3 linked regions of the Bombyx mori genome follow. The protein of the gene in region 3 purifies or fractionates together with the protein of the main gene of each other region. This does not show direct contact. Links are inferred from orthologs where the notes say so. Each region holds a gene or a part of one and is shown on either strand. Other genes may lie near its edges.

Region 1 (4,336 bases), on a different chromosome or scaffold from region 3:
ACTGCGACCCCCGACGGGCACCTCGGAAGAAGGAATGAACAGTTCCATCCCCCGAAGCACCACGTTTTCAAGTCGGTCCGCACAGACGTCAGGATCACCAGAGGAAAAGCAGAGCCGCCCCCATGGGTAGGATGCGTAAAATTCACGCAACCCATCCCAATCTGCTGACATATACCGCCAAACTCTTCGATACCCGGTCGTCATTCGACGACCAGGACGAGAGATCGGTACCGCAGCACGGATAAGGCAGTGATCAGACGATCCAAGTGGAGCGTCGACCACCACACTGTATCCGGCAGGATCGGTGGTCAGCAGAAGGTCCAACAGAGAGGGCTCGTGCCCCTCAATATCTGGGACACGGGTGGGCTGTGTCACCAGCTGGGAGAAGCCGTAGGCCAGGGCGAAATCGTAGGCAGCCCGACCCGGGAGGTCAGTGGTTCTGGACCCCAACCACTCTTGGTGGTGAGCGTTAAAGTCTCCAAGAACCACCACCTCCGCAGATGGGTACTGCTCAAGCACGCGGTTAGTCCCCTCTTGCACATGCTCTATCAGAGCTGAACCTGCATCACTGCTGTGGGACCTGTACAGGCACGCGTAGACTCGGGTACAACCCCCGTGATCTACGCGCAGCCACAAGATGGACAGGTCCCGTTGTTCGAGGCCTCGTAGACGGCGACAACAGACATCAGCCCGGACGAATACACACACCCCGGCTTTACGCAGGAAGTTGTGCTCCAATACGTAGCCGGGGTATTCAAGGTAAGAAGTGTCATCCGGAGCAGATATCTGTGTCTCCGTCAGAAAAAGGAGGGCAGGCTGCGCCGTCTCAAGATGGTGGTGTACGGCGTCGAGGTTACTATGTAGGCCCCTTACATTGCTGAAATCCACATTAAATGTGGAATGGGGCATCGCCGACAAAACCCTTTTCCTTTTTTTAACTGTCATTTTATTATTATTTTTGGAGAGTGGGATTGGGTGGGGTAGGAAGTTCGAGGCAAAAACATGACAATACCTGAATAAAGCGCGGAACACAGTACGTGCTTGACCACGGGTTGCGTGAGAGACTGACGCAGGGCATGGAAGGGCCCCCAGTCCACCCTGCGTGCGATCGCCGGGATCCACTCCGGTCTCCGACTCCGGCACGACGACCGCACGACAGGATTTTACACCGGTTGGCGGGACAGCTTCCCGGGGCGGAGTTTAGTAGTGACACCCGGGTTCAGGTCCCCAACTGACCGGCGGGCGGCGGCGAACACCGTTTCACTGGGTCTCCCTATACCCCCGTCAAACAATCACGTCCCGCGAGCTTGCACGCACGTCTGCTCCGCATGTTCCAGGCATCATCAAGATTCACCCCGAACAAGGAAGAGGAAAGGGAAGGAATAAAACTGGCTCTCCAACCCACACGCCGGAACACAGCTAGGCTATTTGGCGGCGGACTCTAGTTGGAGGGTGGTCGCCAGCCAGTCGGACTATGTCCTACCACCGATTATGTATTCGGCTCCCGTTTAGCACCACCCAGGGGTCACTTGTAGGGAATCGTGGGTTAAACCTACGGAAGCGGGAAGCAATCGACCCCCAAAATCTACCCGACTAGTGTTCTCCACACGAACATGTGGAGTCTTGGAAGTCAAAGTTTAGTTAGTTAACAACAACTCTAGGACAGGGGTGACCAATAAACTTCCCGCGACGGATATATTAATCAGTAAATAGTTTTGGAGATAAATACAGAGTTTGGATAATAGAATTCTTTATCAAAACAACATTTGTATCAGAGCTACCGGATTTAGAGAGGGAGTACGTACCACCGAGGCGGATGTACTGGCGTTAGGGCTGACGTACGACGGCGCGGCGTTCTCTCGCACTCCGGCCCGCATCATCGGGTCCAGTGGCTCCGGAAGCGGGATGCAGTTAGCCAGGCGGGAGTACTCCACGTCCATGCTGCGGATGAACGGGGAACGGAGGGCCTTGCGAGCGGAATCCGGGTCCTCTTCATCGTAGGCCTGGAGCAGCTGATCCAACGTCTGCACTTCGGCCATTTCGCAGTGACCGCCCCATTCCTTAGAAAGGTTTTGGAAGAATCTAAATATTAATACGTGACGCAAAAAATTTTAACCCCTTTTTACACGAAAATTGCGCGGACGGAGCAGTATGAAATTTCCCACACTTATACAGATATAGAGAAGGAGTACAGAATGCTATTTATTTTTAAATTATGCTTTAATAATATATTAAATCAATAAATAAAAACATTACACACACTACCGTGTATTTGACAAGCACACACATGCATACTGTTTGTTTATTTTCAAACTTTTCTTTATTTATATAGTCTGTGGTCAAATTGAGAATAGATTAAATATTGTTTGTCTTTATTAATATTTGTCAAAAGTGTATGTAGTGTTGGCGAAGTATAATAGTCTGTGATAATAGAATCATAATAGTACAAACTTATAATTTCAATTAATTATAGTCGAATTTCGACTACCGGGCGACCACTAGTTAAATTTCGATCGATTACAAATCTCGATACGATCGATACAAAAACTCAGTATTGGCTTAAAAACCAAACATAAAAGCTTGATGTATTTTTTTTAATATACTAAAATTACATTATTACTGATACGTTTACCGCTGTTCTGCCTATTTCTGTGACGAAACAGTCATGTTGAAGGGTGGGGCAGCCGATATATGTATATTATCTACATTTATGAGATTAGTCCTTAGATGCTACGTCTCAAGATGAGACTTTGGCATTGACGTTATGGTATCTAAGAGTTCCAAGTGCAAATCAACATGGAGTGGGCGGGGACATAGTTCTCGTTGGTACAATAAAAAAAAGGCCAATTATAATAAATCAATTATAAAATAAGGCAAAATATTAATACTTGCATAACTACATAATAATACCAACAGGATCCCTTAATAGAAGAGTAGGCTTAGTTGTCAATGATCGTACGCGGTGATGATATTATTTTGACTGATTATCGAAATTCGACCATAAGCACCGGCACTTCAAGATTTAGGTTCGACTAGACTACGCAGTCTATTTATCCGGGAGATATAAAGAAAAACCTTTTTTTTATGTAGTTTTTATATAAAACCTTTATTTTTACAAAAAAAACAGGTTTTTTCTAGGACATCTACAATGTAACTTCAGAACAACAGAACAAAAAAAACAACTTCAGAAATAAGTTTCTTTTTATTGCTTAAATGGATGGACGAGCTCACAGCCCACCTGATGTTAAGTGGTTACTGGAGCCCATAGACATCTACAACGTAAATTCGCCACCCAATTTGAGATACAAGTTCTAAAGTCTCAGTATAATTACAACGGCTGCCCCGCCCTTCAAACCGAAAAGCATTACTGATTCACGGCAGAAATAGACGGGGTGGTGGTACCTGCCCGTGCGGACTCACAAAAGGTCCTACCACCCGTATGAAACACACAGTTTATACACAAGGACGTTACTTACGCTAGCACCATACTCGTTTATTCATTATTTACGTTATAGTCAAGCTACATCATGCCTGCAGAGCTCTAACACCATCCTGGCTGATCCTTTGCTCGCCCACCTGTCCTGGTGAAACTCGAAAGGCCTCCGGGCCATAACTAATCCTTCAATCCTAAAAAAAAAAGCTCTAACATTGCACAACATTGAATACGATTACCTTGTAGCTCTTCTCGGCAGCGACGGTATCGCCGCGGGCCAGTTGTACCAGCACGATGGCCACGCACAGTCTGCCCACGGCCGGCAAGTTATTCGCTTCAAGATGGAACCCGATCTCGCGACGCAAATTATCGACAGCCTCGTCGTAGCTGAAAGCATATCAAACACTACTCAAACACTAATCTTTTAAAACCCTCTTGACTCGAGAACAGACCACGACATTGGTAAGTAATATAAAGAGTACAGCTTTGAAGTCGTCGTGGCCTAAAGGATAAGACGCCCGGTGCATTCGTATCCAGCGATGCATCAGTGTTCGAATCCCGCTGGCACGTACCAGTTTTTCTAAATAAATACGTACTAAACAAATGTTCACGGTTTACTTCCACGGTGAGGGAATAATATCGTGTAGTAAAAATTAAACCCGCAAAATTATAATTTGCGTAATTACATACCGGTGGTAGGACCTCTTGTGAGTCCACACGGGTAGGTACCACCGCCCTGCTTATTTCTGCCGTGAAGCAGTAATGCGTTTCGGTTGGAAGGGCGGGGCAGCCATTGTAACTATACTGAGACCTTAGAACTTATCTCAAGGTAGGTGGTAGCATTTACGTTGTAGATGTCTATGGGCTCCAATTGCCTTATGCTTCAATTGTATAGTAAGTATA
Region 2 (4,336 bases), on a different chromosome or scaffold from region 3:
CACCATAAATCAGTTTTCTAGGTATGCCATTTGCTGCTTGTTGCTGTAAAAGAGAACAGTATTATTTCATATTAAAATTCTTAACAAACTTATCCTTAACTACCAATGACTAATTTCTTGCTTCATTAGTTATGGAAATATTATAAGTTTTTTTCCTACCTAAGCTGATGGTCTAGAGAGATCATGTCAGCGTAACCTTAACTAGTAGGTGAGCTCACGGGGCTCAAACCTGATGACATTGCTAACACGAACCCTAGAAAGACCCGTGCTTCGCAGAATCTACCACCGGATCGGAAACACGAAAACTCAGTGGGCTGTGTCTGTTAATTTACTGGCCGAGCCCTTCGTCGCAAGCGACAGGTTCGACGAGAACCAGTGCTTGGGGTACCTAAAAGCACCGTTAGTGGATCGGGAGGATCCGAAATGAAGTGTTTTGGGCGACGTCGACTGTTTACCATTTGATCCGCAGGATCGGCTATGTAGTTTTCGGCGGTCACGATGAGAGGATTCTCATTGTCGAAGGGGGCATCAGTCTATCACATTTCTTAGTTACACGGTTGTGTTGAATCTAGCGAAACATAACATGCCCTTCATTCTCTTGATACGGAAAATTCCATTTTACCAACAGATTTTAGTGAATGACGTCTCACTGTAAATTAAAGAGTGTCTCTTTTCATTTGTATATTGAAAGTCTTTGGGTAGGTTACTAAAATCAAATTAGTCTACAAATCAAGCTCCATTTATTGAAAGGTTCCTATTGAGTGTTGAGAGGTTGAACTATCACAATATAGTTTTGGAGCGTACAAGGAAAGAAGTCTTTAAAAGTTAATCACGCCTTCACCATTGCAAAAAAAAAAGACTGGTAGCGGTATTGCCGCTGTGGTATCTATGCTTATCACTCGTCTATTACGTAACGTTGAAGGCTTAAAGACGCAAACAGCTACGTTCGTGAGCACTTTTTTAACGTCAATCCACAAATGGTACGGTTATACTTGTATGTAGGTACATTTGTTTCTATCACGGATTTTTTAATATGGTTCTTTTTTTGTAAAGCAAATTATTATAAGGCGATGGCTTCAGGTACTTCATATAATTTATTGTTTTTTTCAACTCTGCTGCGTTTGATTCTATAAATAGACTTGATAATTGCGGGTCGCATAGAGAGTAAGCGCGCTGTGGGACAGAACACCAGCCTGATGGTCAGATCTAGTAAGGGAAGCAATTGGTGGTAGTCAGTACCGTGCGCTCCGTGCCACTCATGATCGAACATTGTGGAGAAACATCACATGTGGTCGCGATCTTCAGCAGTGAGGGAATGACATAGAAGAAGATAACCAGTGACAGTACGTCTGTGCAATAAAGCTATCCTATAAAGTCAATGATTATCTAGAAGATTGCACAAAGTGGGAATGAGTTGCTCGCTCCGGGCATTTCAATATTGCAATAATTGTTACCTTATAATACTCATTGTAAAACTTAATATTTAAAAAAATAATCTAATATTAAAAAAAAAAAGACGTGCCCACTGAGTTTCTTGCCAGTTCTTCTCAGGACGGAGGCTAGTTTTTGTGAATTGGCGGTAGTTCTTTTTGACGTTCAACAAGTAAGTATGTACTTTCATTAATGTTGAATAATTTTTTTTGATTTAATTTGACATTATATCAGTATTTGCGCAACAAAACCTTAGCGAAGTCGATCAGGTTGTGGTATTCGATGTAATTCCCGCCGCCGACGAGGAAGACCACAGCGTCGGTGGGCGGCTGTTGTCGTGCGGAGCGCGCGCGACCGGCCGAGTCCGTGCGCGCCGCGCGGGGGTCCAGCCACGTGAGCTCGGCGGCGCTCTCGCTGCCACTCAGAGCGCTCTCCACTATGCGGCTCACGGGAAGTTTCTGCATTCATTCGTTACATTTGAATATGCATTTATTACTGGTGGTAGGACCTCTTGTGAGTCCGCGCGGGTGGGTACCACCACCCTGACTTTTTATGCCGTGAAGCAGTAATGCGTTTCGGTTTGAAGGGTGGGGCAGCCGTTGTAACTATACTTGAGACCTTAGAACTTATATCTCAAGGTGGGTGGCGCATTTACGTTGTGGATGTCTATAAGCTCCAGTAACCACTTAACACCAGGTGGGCTGTAAGCTCGTTCACACATCGAAGCATCGAAGCATGATAGATCTATGCGTGTAGAATTTCAAACACGAGGTCCACCATTCTGAGTATTCACTAAACAGTTTTCAGCTGTTTTCAAAAGCTCTGACTTGAGGTTACTTAATTTTAGATTTTTCTTAATTTATTGCAAAGAATTTTTGCTACACCCTGTATAGTACTCACGTGTTTTTTGACAACTAAATTTTTGACGCCCTCCATTACAAAGGATGAGCCTTGGGATACAAGTTTAGAGAACATGGATACTGTTTTGGTGCCGCCGCCTTCGTACTGATTTGACATTTTTGTGAAACCCCTGTAAAAGTATTATAATAAATAATAATAAATAAATAAATATTTACTAACAATCACGCCACGTTAACTGGTCCCGTGATAAGTTCGTACAGATCTTGTGTTACAGGTACCAGATAGCGGATATAAATGTAAGATTTTTATTATAAACATACATATATTTAATATACATCCATAACCCCGCAAAAGACATTTATATTTATCATACAAATATCATCCCTTGGCGGGATTCGAACCCGCGACCCCCTTGTGTAGTGACCATGTCACTTAACACTACACCAGACGGCCGTTTAAATTATAAGTATATCTACAGTAGAAAAATTACAGCAGTGTGTTTTTTTGAAAATATATACTAGATAACGCCGGTCAGGTGTCCCAGAATTTTAAGGCTTCAACGTTTCAACCAAAAATGTTTGTATATTTTATTAAATATTCCATATAATAAGAAAGTTAGGATAATGGGAAATATTCTACAAATACAGTCTGAACACAACCGAATTTTGAATGATTTTATACACTTGAAAATTTTTTACAAGCTTAATCCAACGAGGATGAATGTGTTAAAGTATTATGAGCAAGACATAAGCTGCAGTAGAAGTATTTTCAGATTTTAAAATAACGCTGGAAGCGGAAAATCTAGGATAAAACATTTGTGCCTAAAAGACGTTTAGTGCATAGTTAAGTAGCCTGGATTATATAAGCAAAAAATTCATCGCCGGTCATGAAGGGCTCGATAGACGAAGGGCTCTGCAAGTAAATTAACCCACAGACAGCCCACTGAGTTTCTCGCCGGATCTTCTCAGTGGGTCGCGTTTCCGATCCGGTGGTGGATTCTGCGAAGCACGGCTCTTGTTAGGACTAGTGTTAGCAACATTGTCAGGTTTGAGCCTCGTGACTTCACTTACTAGTTAAGGCTACGCTGAAATGGTCTCTCCAGACCAACAGCTTAGAGGGGAAAAAAATTTTTTGTAGACTTACTTCCACCGTTTCATGTAAGATAGGGCTTTGACATCGCAGTTGGCCGCCACTAGAGCTCCTTCAAACTTTTCATATTCATCGTCAGTGAATTGCGACGTGCACAGATAGTAAATAATGAACAGCCTCATTTTGTCCTCGGGTGTACCCGCACTGGGATCAGTTATAAGATCCATAACCGCTTTGGTTTCCACGGCGGTGCTTTTACTCATTATTTTTTCCTCTAATTCGAAAAATGAATCTAGTCTTCTGGACTTAATGGCATTAAGAATTGCTGTAAGAATATTGGAGAAATAATATTGAACAGTTTATTTTGTGTCAAATCAATCAGAATTTCTTTGAGATAACGAATCTGTTTACCTGTGGCGATAGTAGTGTGCATATCAATCAGCCGTTTCTTTTCCATGAGTTGAGGTAATGAGTTCACCGCGTTGGTAAGCCGTTGAGTATTGTCACTGACCATGCTCAGGGCCAAGTCACTTTCTGCATCGAGACCCATAGAGCTCTTCAGTTTCTTTACTTCGGCTTCTGAACTCCTTTGGAATTATTGGTTAATTTAATTGGTTTATTCCCATATTTTATTACATGGTATATTAAAATGTAATTTTTTTATTGCTTAGTTAGGTGGACATACTCACGGCCCACCTGGTGTTACTGAAGGTTACTGAAGCCCATAGACATCTACAACGTGAATGCCGCCACCCACCTTGAGACATGAGTTGTAAGGGTCTCAGTATAGTTACAACGGTTGCCTCACCCTTCAAACCGAAACGCATTACTGCTTCACGGCAGAAATCAGTATAGTTACAACGGCTGCCCCACCTTTCAAACCGAAACGCAATACTGCTTCACGGCAGAAATAGGCAGGGTGGTGGTAATTACCCGTGCGGACCCACAAGAAGTC
Region 3 (4,336 bases):
ATTTACGTCGTAGATGTCTATGGGCTCCAGTAACCACTTAACACCAGGTGGGCTGTGAGCTCGTCCATCCATCTAAGCAATAAAAAAAAAAAAAAACATATATACATATATTATGTACATGTTTACGGTAACATTCAGGCCTGACTTTTACTTAATAGATATCTAATTGATTATTAGAAGAGAGGTGATTGCTTTAGTGAATTAATCATCTACATCTTAAAGCCAGCTAGAAAAATAACATATTATGCTAAAACGTAGTCGATGTATGAGTTCCGGTCACCGTTCCCGTCGAACCCGTCGCTTGCGACGAAGGACTCCACGCGTAAAGTAACCCACAGACACAACCCACTGGGTTTCTCGCCGGATCTTCTCAGTGGATCGCGTTTCCGATCCGGTGGTAGATTCTGCGAAGCACTGCTCTTGCTAGGGCTCGTCAAGTTTGAACCCCGTAAGCTCATCTACTTGTTAGGTTACGCTGACATAGCCTCTATAGGCTATCGGCTTAATTAGGAATATTAAAAACGGTGTATGAGAAAGGGCCGAGGGCAGGTCGCGTCGTTACCTAGTTGCTCGACGACCTCCGGGGGGAACACTCGGGAAGCAAACGCGCGACGGAAGATCGCGTTGAACTCGTTGTCGAGACCGCCGATGCCCATCTTGCCGAAGTCCCAGTCCGGATTGATGATCGACTGTCGCGGTTGCTTTCTGTTTCACAAAAATATATCATTGTTGTATTTGTTTTTCGTTTATACTATACTGTTTCGTACTGAAACAGATCTTTTCTTGTTTCGTATATTTTTTTAGTATCGAGTATTAGGTAATGAATATATTACATCTTCAAGACAACACAAGTCTTAACCTAGGCGCAGTAAGGTTCGATCTCGCCTGTAGACGGCCGACTAGCCAACCAGAAGCTTGCTAAGCAATCCCTCCAAGCCTACGGGCAGAGATCGCCATCGCATAGAATACATAACACACGCGTTCCGCGGCATTCATTAATTATAACAAAAACAAAAATTATCCAACGCAAGTCACGCGTAAACATAGAACCAGCGACAATATATTCATCATGTACCAGTCAAGGGACAGACGGTCCCACCTCCGGAAACGACGCTGAGCCCAGGGAGCACGAGGCAGTAGAAGGAAGGTGAATCGGTAAGTCTTCAGGCAATTATTTCGTTCCGTACTGTACATATACTTTTTTTACGTCAAAAAAAATAAGTATTCTTCTTCTTCTTTTTTTTCCACCTTATCCCACTAGGCGTGGTTGGCACACCTGATTTTTCTCTTCCATTCTCTTCTATCAGCCGTCATCTCAACACTCACTCCTCTTTCTCTCATATTGTCATTCACACACTCCAGGAAAACTCGAATAGCCCCTTAGGAAACTCGAATAGCCTCATAGGAAACACGAATAGCCCCTTAGGAAACTCGTATAGCCCCTTAGGAAACTCGTATAGCCCCTTAGGAAACTCGAATAGCCCCTTAGGAAACTCGTATAGCCCCTTAGGAAACTCGAATAGCCCCTTAGGAAACTCGAATAGCCCCTTAGCTGCCAGCGAGGTATCAAAAGTAGGGAAAAAACACCAACAAAATAAAAGGCGTTGCTAACCGGACAACCTTGTTCCAAGCCTCGATGATTTTATTATCGAGATGCAAAAACATGTATATATGGCGTCAATTTTTTTTAACTACTAAATGTTGGCGAACTTACTGTATCAACTAGTGTGGTAGACATCAGGAAACTTAATGCCGCTACCCACCTTGAGACAGTTTTAAGTCTCCATTTCATCAATAGCGACAATTATTATAAAGGTCCCTTATTCCCGATGATCCATACTCACCCTTTAGCCTTCCCGATTAGGTTCAGAGACGAATTCTCCGCCTTGTCGAACTGCACCGAGGCGTCGGGCAGCAGCCGGCCCATCCGCACCCGGCGGGGCACGGCGTTGGCTCCGGCCGCTAAAGCTTGCACATCGACGGCTGCACACACAACATCATACATCCAATTATAAAACCACTTCGATAAAGCGGCACGACACGAGAACCCTCTCATCGTGGCCGCCGGTAACTACATTCCCGATCCTGCGGACAGTATGGAAAGCAGTCGACGTCGCCCAAAACACGTCATCTCGGATCCTCCCGATCCACTAACGGTGCTTCTAGGTACTTCAAGCACCGGTCACCGTTCTCGTCGAACCCGTCGCTTGCGACGAAGGGCTCGACGAGTAAATTAACTCCCAGACACAGCCCACTGAGTTTCTCGCCGGATCTTCTCAGTGGGTCGCGTTTCCGATCCGGTGGTAGATTCTGCGAAGCACGACTCTTGCTAGGGTTCGTGTTAGCAACGTCATCAGGTTTGAGCCCCGTGAGCTCACCTACAAAAGTTAGGGTTACGCTGACATAGCCTCTCAAGGCTCTCAGCTTAGGTAGGAAAAAAAAAAAAAAAAAAAAAAAAAACAATTATAAACCGTATATTCAATGAGAATTGGGGAATGTGGCAATTTGGGGAATTCTATTTTAGGCATTTTATGACCTGGTAACTAAGACCTTTAAGGTCAAGTCTTATTTAAATTTTAATGAAAACTTTTTTTATATGAAAAATGATATTATGAAATGAAATGAAGTTGTTTAATGTGAAACAGGGCATGAAACGAAATGAGATGATATGGGATGAAAGATAATCTCAGTAAAATGGTGGGTTTATTTACTGAGACTTTTTCAGTGGACGTTTTTGGAGGATCCCGAAAAGTTACGTTCAGCGGCTTTGTTTCATTTTTCCACATTTGTGTACTTTCACAGATACTAAACTGGTACTTTACTGGTGGTAGGACCTCTTGTAAGTCCGCGCGGGTAGGTACCACCGCCTAGCCTATTTCTGCCGTGAAGCAGTAATGCGTTTCGGTTTGAAGGGTAGGGCAGCCGTTGTAACTATACTGAGATCTTAGAACTTATATCTCAAGGTGGGTGGCGCATTTACGTTGTAGATGTCCATGGGCTCCAGTAACCACTTAACACCAGGTGGGCTGTGAGCTTCATGTCTCAAGGTGGGTTATTTCATTCACGTTGTTGAAGTCCACGTGCCCCGATAACAACTTACCACCGGGCCGTGAGCTCGTCTATATTCCAATAACAAACATAAAAAAACTCACCTTCCAAATTTTTTACGATCAACGACAAGACTTTCTTCTCTTGGAACAAGAAAGCCAGCTGTTGTCCGACAGTAAAAACTTGATTGGCGAACTGAATAAGGAAATCTCTGGCCATTTGTTCCGAATCATATGGATCCGTTGATGTTCTGGAAGAGGAAATACATTCCAACAATAATAAAAAAAAAAATCCTAGTTATCATAGTTAACAAACAACACTTTTTAAGTAAATTAGAAAAATACAATAGATTTTTATTGATCAGTTATTTTCGAAGGCGTTTTTGCATCATATGCATGTGTTTATTAAATCTTGTGTGTGTTTAATCACATCTAGAACTCGCGGATAGCTATGCCAAAATAATGAACGTTTTTTTTCTATCGGTAACTTTACGTATGAAATATTTATGCAAGTGGCAAAATTCTTTAGTTGAATTAAATGCACTTCACTCTTCCTTCCTTTGAATCCCCAAATCTCAGGATCGTCAGTGCTATGTCAAAGGCACAAAATATATTCCATTGAGACAGCACAAATTTATAGATATTAGGTTTATTAAACTTTAAGCATTCCATTTTTCTTTACTAACAAGATCTTTGTATGTTCGTTCTAATTTCATACTTTATCTGCTATTATAATGATATTGGGTTGCATTAATTACTATGCTCATTTAATCACAGAGTTGAAAATAAATTGCTCCACCCAATCTATTAAAAACAAGGAAATTTTAAAAATTATTTTCAAATGATGACTGAAAAGTTACGTAACATCAATAAGTACTAATCAGATTGAATTCACACATACGTTTTCTTCATCATGAAATCGGCTTCCAACGTTACGCTGCAAAGGCATTCAGCACTAGAGGGTTTGAAAGGCTTCACGTCAATGGTCTGCATAGTAAAAAAAATATACATGGTTTATACATAGTTTTTTGTTCTTATCAAATTTCTTTATTTTCAGCCACGGACTTCCACCGCTGAACATTTGCCTCCCCCATTATATTATTATCTAATCGCGCTATTTAATTATACGTATACAAGTCTAGCGTGTATTTACATTTCGACTAATTAAAACATTTTGTATGAAAAAATCAGATTTGTTTTTAAAAATATTATATTATATGATGATAGGTGAGAAAAAAAAAACTATTATTTAAAAGTAGTTTTATTTATTTTAAGAAATGTATGCTTTA

Evidence for each region. Proteins that work in one complex are often made in the same cells at the same time.
Region 1: the proteins of vesicle-fusing ATPase 1 (region 3) and gamma-soluble NSF attachment protein purify together in Homo sapiens (affinity purification with mass spectrometry; 3 studies listed by BioGRID and IntAct, with this or other methods). This does not show direct contact. The link is inferred for Bombyx mori from reciprocal best matches to the Homo sapiens genes NSF and NAPG.
Region 2: the proteins of vesicle-fusing ATPase 1 (region 3) and protein sly1 homolog purify together in Homo sapiens (affinity purification with mass spectrometry; 3 studies listed by BioGRID and IntAct, with this or other methods). This does not show direct contact. The link is inferred for Bombyx mori from reciprocal best matches to the Homo sapiens genes NSF and SCFD1.

The regions. Positions count from the first base shown.
Region 1 is NC_085107.1:1,359,725-1,364,060, forward strand, and holds part of gamma-soluble NSF attachment protein, read right to left. Parts: intron 3,821-4,336; coding exon 3,673-3,820; intron 2,061-3,672; coding exon 1,806-2,060; intron 1-1,805. UniProt on the Homo sapiens protein: Required for vesicular transport between the endoplasmic reticulum and the Golgi apparatus.
Region 2 is NC_085118.1:7,853,084-7,857,419, forward strand, and holds part of protein sly1 homolog, read right to left. Parts: intron 3,969-4,336; coding exon 3,793-3,968; intron 3,707-3,792; coding exon 3,436-3,706; intron 2,462-3,435; coding exon 2,332-2,461; intron 1,890-2,331; coding exon 1,683-1,889; intron 44-1,682; coding exon 1-43. UniProt on the Homo sapiens protein: Plays a role in SNARE-pin assembly and Golgi-to-ER retrograde transport via its interaction with COG4. Involved in vesicular transport between the endoplasmic reticulum and the Golgi.
Region 3 is NC_085128.1:5,784,242-5,788,577, forward strand, and holds part of vesicle-fusing ATPase 1, read right to left. Parts: intron 4,035-4,336; coding exon 3,949-4,034; intron 3,299-3,948; coding exon 3,153-3,298; intron 1,984-3,152; coding exon 1,845-1,983; intron 706-1,844; coding exon 563-705; intron 1-562.